Linked DNA regions of Anolis sagrei. The protein of the gene in region 2 purifies or fractionates together with the protein of the main gene of each other region. This does not show direct contact. Links are inferred from orthologs where the notes say so. Each region holds a gene or a part of one and is shown on either strand. Other genes may lie near its edges.

Region 1 (3,747 bases), about 180 Mb from region 2:
GTTGATGTGCTGGCTGATACCCAAACAGGGGATGAGCTGGAGATGTCTCTGCCTTGGTCCTTTCACTATTGGCTGCTACTTCCCGGCGGATGTCAGGTGGTGCAATACCAGCTTAATATCTTTCATAAATTGAAATAATTAACATGATAGGACCTCTGTCATTGGAGTTGTGCCTGATGATGCACCCATCTTTCCAGTCCGGCAGTGTCCCAACCAAAAGGCTTCCAAGGGTTCAGGCAATCCCTGAGTTATAAACATCTGACTTATAAACAACTCATAGTGAAGAACGGGGGTGAGACAAAAGGAAGGGAGAGAAATCTTCCCCTAGATGAAGAAATTTACTCCTGGAAGAGTAATCATGGGGAAAAGGTATCTCCACTGAGGCTTTATGAACAATCCTTGCTTCCACAACAAGCCCAATTTATCAAAATCCGATTATTACAGAGATAGAAAGTTAGGTGAAATCTTCTGAACAGGGGCTCAGACAGCAAGACAAACACCACAGGGATGTTAACCTTTCCCTATACTATCCAAAGATAGATAGATAGATAGATAGACTGGAGTTATACTTAAAAATGTATCTGTTTGGACTTACATAAGAACATACAGAACCTATCTTGCTGCCTGTATTGGGAAATAGTATCTGCAGGACTCTTCCAGTTATGGGACGTGTCAAGAAGAGGAAGCTGGAGAGATCCCTTGCAATGCTGCAGCAAAGGATCTAGATCAGTGGTTCTCAACCTGTGGGTCCCAAGATGTTTTGGGCTTCAACTCCCAAAATCCTAACAGCTGGTAAACTGGCTGGGATTTCTGGGAGTTATTGGCCAAAACACTTGGGGACCCACAGGTTGAGAACCACTGATCTAGATAATTAAATTGTGATGGCTATTATATGACGACTATTAAACAATTACTATTACCGTTTAAAGCAAATAAGCTCAATCACTTTATTTGTTACCATTAGTAATTAGGAATCCTGAATGTCTTTTTGCGATTCTCGATCTCACCTGCCGCCACCTCCAGGAGCCGCCTGGGTCGGCGGACAATCACAAATTCTGCCTCCTTCACTTTCTGCCGTTTTTGGGGTGGACTCACACACATCAGCAGCTCTTGGGGGGTGTTCTCGTTGCCCAGTTTATCCTTAAGGACAGAGACTCCCATGACGGACAGCAGCTCTGACGTCTTGTTGGAATGCCATCCCCATATGAAGTCCGTGTTGACATTGCTGCCCGAATCTGGAATTTCCTGGAGAAGTCTCCTACAAAGGAAGGGAAACACGGTGGTATATAGCTGGCATTTATATCGTAAGAAAGTGAAGAACAACAGAAGGAGAGAGCTACAGATATACTCTATTTCCTCAATTCTAATGGCCCTTCCAGACAGGCCCTATATCCCAGAATCTGATCCAAAGTTTTCTGTTTATCCCAGATTATCTGGCAGTGTGGACTCATATAATCCAGTTTAAAGCAGAACAACTTGGATGAGATCATGGGATATAGGGCCTGCCTAGAAGGGTCCCAAGATGCATATTTCCCCTCAGGCTGAGAAGGGTAGTATACAAATATGGTAAATAAATTACAACGCCATAAAACTCTCCAGCAGCGTGCAAAAGAATGAGGAAGTACTCCATCGGTCTCACAAGTGGATGGTGAAGTGACAGTTCCCCCCGGTGGCTGGAATTCAAAATGCATACCCTCATGAAGCTGGAGTGTTAAACAGCCTCTGTGTCTCTGTCTATATATGTTGTGTGTCTATGGCACTGAATGTTTATGTGCATTGTAATCCTTCCTGAGTCCCTTGTAGGGTGAGAAGAGCGGAATATGAATGCTGTAAATAAATAAATAATAATAATAAGTGCATTTCTTTTACAGTATAGATCAGGTAGGGGCAAATTTGGATACTCCAGGTGTTTTGGACTTCAACTCCCACAATTCCTAACAGCTGCCGGCTGTTAGGAATTGTGGGAGTTGAAGTCCAAAACACCTGGAATACCCAAATTTGCCCCTACCTGATCTACAATATATATGCACCTTAAGACATTTGGGAATTACAAACACGCTAGTCCAAACAAAAAATAAGTTTGCAATTCATAAATAACTTAATGCAAGAACATGTCCATCAAATACTACTGCACCGGATGATGGCTAAAATCCTGAAGCCAAGGGGGAGGAAAGAGGCGCGTGATCCCATCCCTTGTTTTGGGCGGGATCCACTGCGATTCCCCCTGCTCTCCACCCTAATGTAACCACTTTGCACCCATCCGCTTTTACCTGTGCATGGTGCTTGCAAATGGGGCTTTTGCATGGAGAACCAGGACCCCCCGATCCCTTTTTTCCCTCTCTTGCAACGCCAAACCCAGCAAATCTTCTCAGCAGCAGCAGCAGCCCCGGAAAACCCGCACAGCAGAAAAAGGCTCGCGCGCTTCGCCTTCCCGGGCCAACGTTCTCCCGGATCTCGCAATGGCTCCTGGGAATGGTAGTGCTTTGCAGCGGAGAAGTTACTTTTTTAAATGTTCATTTTTAAACTAATTTGGGATTCAGTTTCCCAAAAATGCAACTTATATCCAACAAATGGATATATAGAGAGATAGATATGGATATAAGATAGAAAAATATGGATATAGATATAGATAAAGAGAGAGATATAAATTGATATATAGTCAGATAGATATGGATATAGATAGATATGTATATAGATAGATATTGATATAGAGAGAAATGAATATGGAGATAGATAGCTAGATAGATATAAACAGATGTATAGAGAGATTAATATATCCCCCCCCCCCCCCTGTTGTGTCAGCTCCACTGGCTGCCGATCCAATTCCGAGCACAATTCAAAGTGCTGGCTTTGACCTACAAAACCCTGTACGGTTCCAGCCCAGTGTATTTGTCCGAACGGATCTCCCTCTACGTCCCACTTCGGAGTCTAAGATCCTTTGGGGAGGCCCTGCTCTCGACCCCACCTCTATCACAAGTGAGGTTGGCGGGTGTGAGGAGCAGGGCCTTCTCGGTGGTGGCCCCTCACCTGTGGAACTCACTTCCCGGGGAGATTGGATCGGCGAATTCCCTTCGAAAAAAATTAAAGACCTGGATGTGGGACCGGGCATTTGGACATTCTGGCAGCTAAAGAAAGACCTTGATGATGAGCAGGAATTGACGAAACGGAATGGATTTACGGAACTCTGAGCGCTGAGCATAGGATTAGTTTACTATTGTGTTAGTGTATTGTTAGAGCCCCCGGTGGCGTTAAAGCACTGAGCTGCTGAACTTGTTGATTGAAAGGTCGCAGGTTCGATTCCGGGGAGCGGCGTGAGCTACCGCTGTCAGCCCTAGCTTCTGCCAACCTAGCAGTTCGAAAACATGCAAAATGTGAGTAGATCAATAGGTACCGCTCCGGCGGGAAGGTAACGGCGCTCCATGCAGTCATGCCGGCCACATGACCTTGGAGGTGTCTACGGACAATGCTGGCTCTTCGGCTTAGAAATGGAGATGAGCACCACACCCCAGAGTCAGACATGACTGGACTTAATGTCAGGGGACTACCTTTACCTTTACCTTTAGTGTATTGTTATGTACTGATGATTTTAATTGTTAACTGTTTAAGTGCTGTTATGTATGTATGTATATTTGATATAGGCATCGAATTGTGCCTTCCTTTGTAAGCCGCCCTGAGTCCCCCCTCGGGGGTGAGAAGGGCGGGGTAAAAGTAACTGAAATAAATAAATTAATATGGATATGGATAAAT
Region 2 (3,747 bases):
CACAAACTCAAAGGCTTCGTCCAGCTTGACGCGATTGGTCCTCATAAGGTAAGCAAGACAGATGGTTGCAGAGCGGGAAATGCCGGCTTGGCAGTGAACGAACACTCGCCCACCATCATTTTTAACAGAGTCTGAAACCAATGAGTTAAAAAATCACTGTTAGCAAGCACTTTCTTATCAAGCTTTTGTAAAAACTACATTTCACTTCGTGTGCTAAAGTGGGGTTATTTCCTAATTGTATAAGGTAGCAAGCCACTTGGCTGGGAGCAGAAACTGATGCAAAATAGGATGCAGATGCTTCATCTCTCATTGAAGATGATGGCCCCTGCTCTTACTAGTTATCAATATGCACTGAAAAATTAACATTTTGTCAGCATAATAGCCAGTGCATATTATACTCAAACATACTGAGATTCAATGTCCCTCTTTATAAATGCTGTTATCTGAGGGAGGCATAAGCTCCAACATGGCTTATTTTACATGCTGCTGTTCTGAAACCTCTAAAGAGATACCCTTCAACTCAGCTATAAAGGTGTCTGGAGCTCTCTATTACACCGATTTCTTAACCTCCAATCTGCATATGCTGCAGGGAGAGAGAAACGTCCTTTACCTATGAAATCGATGGCTTCATTAAACCAGCAGCTGATGTCGGCTTTGTGGCTGTCCTCCACGGGGATGCTTTTGTACTGATAGTGCCCTTCAAAATGGTTCGGGCAGTTGGCGGAAACATTGATCAAGGCTGTGATCCCCAAAGCATCCAGCATGTCTTTCCTGGACGCATGATAGGCACTGCCCAAATACAGGAAAGGCAGGATTTCCACAGGGCCACCCTGAAATAGAAGAGAGAAGAACACAATCCGTTAATCCTCTCCGGTGAAAGATAGCGTCACCTCTACACAGTCTCCACACAACTGCTCCCTTTTGAAATCGAGAATTCGTTGCATTTTCAATGTCACTGCTTCCCAAGCAGAGCGGTTTTTTCCACCCGTGTCCCAGTTTCAGGGCAGGGGGAGAGGGAGAGAAAAGGAAACATCCCTAGATTGTTTTCCAACTGACCTGGTCATACAGTGGGGTCCCGCAGGAGTTGCAGTTGGAATCGGCGCTGCCGGGTGCGTTGCTGGAGCTGAGTGGCAGCGTCAGACCCTTGGGAGCCGAGGGCTTTGTGCACAGTTCGGGGCAGAGGGAGGAAAAGGCATCATATCCGCCTACAGAAGGGGAGAGAGAGGGAGAAAAGGACGGTTATTATTTTCAGGGGCTGCTTTGAGAATGAGGGAAATTCTTTATTATCACAGACAAGTTACAAAGAGCGTGTTCTCACTCTCCCAACTGGTCCCTTTCTGGGTGGCACTTACTTCCCTCAAGCAAAGATTATTTTCTTTCATATTCTTGCCCAACTTTTGTTCCTTGTGGGCTAAATCTCTAGTCAGCTGGTCTCTTTGGGTGGCACTCATTTCCCCCAAGAAAAGATGGTTCATCTTCATTCCTAACTTTTGTTCCTCTGGAGCCAAATTTCTAGCCAGCTGATCCCTTTGGGTGGCACAATTTCCCCCCAACGATATTTGTGCCTAACTTGGTTCCTGGTGGGCTAAATCTCTAGTCAGCTGATCCCTTTGGGTGGCACTCATTTCCCCCAAGAAAAGATGGTTAATATTCTTGCCTCACTTCCTGGTGAGTTAAATTTTAGCCAGCGGATCCCTTTGGATTGCACAAATACGTATAGACTGTTTTCTTTCATGTTTGTGCTTAACTTTTGTTCCTTCTGGGCTAGATCTCTAGCCAGCGAGTCCCTTTGGGTGGCACTTCTATCCCCCAAGCATGTTAAAGATGGTTAACATGCTTGCCTAACTTGGTGGGCTAAATCTTTAACTAGCGGGTCCCTTTGGGTGGCACAAATTCCCCGAAAGGAAAGCCTGTTTTCTTTCCTATTTTTGCCTAACTTGTTTCCTCCTGGGCTAAATTTTCCCATGGGATAGACTCCTTCCCCCTTCTTGCCTAAGTGCCGACCCCCCCCCCCACCTCAATTCCCCGTTGCGTGGCGTGTCGCCTCACCTTTGAGGAAGGCGAGGCGGGCCTGGCGGGCCTCCCTGGCGAGGGCGTGGAGGGCGAGGAGGAGGGTGCTGTCCCGCTTGGGCGCTTCCAGGTCGGCGCTGCGCTCGTCGAGGAGGACGACGGCGCGGTAGCGTCCCTGCCGGAGCCGGGCGCGGGCCTCCTCGTTGGGCAGGAGGTGCTCGAGGCCCACGGCGCCCTTGGCCCGGCGGCGCACGATGGAGCTGAGCCGCACGTTGCACGAGCCCACCACGTGCGAGGCGTTGAAGGCCAGGAAGGAGCGGCAGTCCAGCACCAGCGCCGCCCCCGACTCCAGCAGCTCGCGCAGCGTCTCGCACTCCACGGCGCACACCTGCATGTTGACCATCGCCAGCGCCTCCGGAACACGGCCGAGAAGGAGCTCCAAGGGAGGGACGGACGTCTTCCCTCTCTCTCTCTCTCTCTCTCTCTCTCTCTTTCAGGGACTCCTTTGGAATCCCAGGCGCGCCTCTCTCTCTCTCTCTTGGTCTCCTTCTTCTTGCTTTCTCAATGAGCGGCTAGTCCTGGTGCGTAGATGACAAGTTCCGAGCTGAGTTCAGTCTTTTCCTCGCAGCCTTTGCTTCAGCGGCTGAGCTTTCCTTGCTGCTTGGGAGCGCGAGGACGGCAGCTTTTATACTTTCTGAGCGCGCAGCCTCGGCTTTGTCCCCGCCCCCTCCTCCCGCCCTCTGTGCCTTCTTTTTTTGTTATTTGTGAATGGGGCCGGAGGAGGTCACGTGACAACCTCTCCGCGAAGACGTCACTTGGCCGGTAGCCAGGCGGACACTCCCCGCCCCGGGAGCGCGCTCGCGTCATCGCTCGAAAAGCGAAGTCACCCCGGAGCCGCAAAAGCCCCGAGGAAGGAAGAAGGGAAGGAAGGAAGGAAGGGCCCGCCCCTCCTCGGCCTCCTTCGGGAGCTCTTCGCCCAGCAGGGGCGCCACTGGCCGTAGCCCAGCCCAGCCTTTTCGGAGGGCCAGGAAAGGGCACGCGAAGCCCCGCAGCGATCGCTCCCTCACCCACACAACCTCCTTTCACAAACACGTCCCTTTGTGGACTGACCTCTCCAAGGAAAGGCTATCCGCTCCAGGCCTCGAGGCTGCCTCCTCTTTACCTCATTTCTATCAAACAGGCGAGATAACCTCACAACCTCTGAGGATGCCTGCCCTAGATGCAGGCGAAACGTCAGGAGAGAATGTTACTGGAACATGGCCATGCAGCCCGGAAAACTCACAGCAACCCCGTGATTCCGGCCATATTTATTTATTTATTTATCCTGTCAGGAGCTAACCAAACAGTTTCATTGCATTAAACAAACAAACAAACAAACAAAACACAAAGTTTGCAGACTTGGTATTCTATTAAATGTCCTTTGACCAGTAGCTGGCCACTTGGCGCGCCTCTGGTGTTGCCATGAAAGCCTTCAATAATACATGCGAGTGGGTCTCTATATACATTTTTTTTTCGTATCAGAAGTGACTTGAGAAACTGCAAGTCACTTCTGTTGTGAGAGAATTGGCCGTCGCAAGGACATTGCCCAGGGGACGCCCGGATGTTTTGATGTTTTACCATGCTTCTCTCATGTCCCTGCATGGGGAGCTGGAGCTGACAGGGAGCTCATCCACACTCTCCCCATATTCGAACCTACGACCTGTCAGTCTTCAGTCCTGCCGGCACGAGGGTTTAACC

The links. The genes of interacting proteins can lie anywhere in the genome.
Region 1: the proteins of DUSP1 (region 2) and SKP2 purify together in Homo sapiens (affinity purification with western blotting; 3 studies listed by BioGRID and IntAct, with this or other methods). This does not show direct contact. The link is inferred for Anolis sagrei from reciprocal best matches to the Homo sapiens genes DUSP1 and SKP2.

The regions. Positions count from the first base shown.
Region 1 is NC_090022.1:279,561,308-279,565,054, forward strand, and holds the start of SKP2 (S-phase kinase-associated protein 2), read right to left. Parts: upstream 2,457-3,747; 5' UTR 2,279-2,456; coding exon 2,271-2,278; intron 1,259-2,270; coding exon 1,008-1,258; intron 1-1,007. UniProt on the Homo sapiens protein: Substrate recognition component of a SCF (SKP1-CUL1-F-box protein) E3 ubiquitin-protein ligase complex which mediates the ubiquitination and subsequent proteasomal degradation of target proteins involved in cell cycle progression, signal transduction and transcription.
Region 2 is NC_090022.1:100,932,549-100,936,295, reverse strand, and holds the start of DUSP1 (dual specificity protein phosphatase 1), read right to left. Parts: upstream 2,682-3,747; 5' UTR 2,414-2,681; coding exon 2,050-2,413; intron 1,206-2,049; coding exon 1,057-1,205; intron 831-1,056; coding exon 611-830; intron 132-610; coding exon 1-131. UniProt on the Homo sapiens protein: Dual specificity phosphatase that dephosphorylates MAP kinase MAPK1/ERK2 on both 'Thr-183' and 'Tyr-185', regulating its activity during the meiotic cell cycle.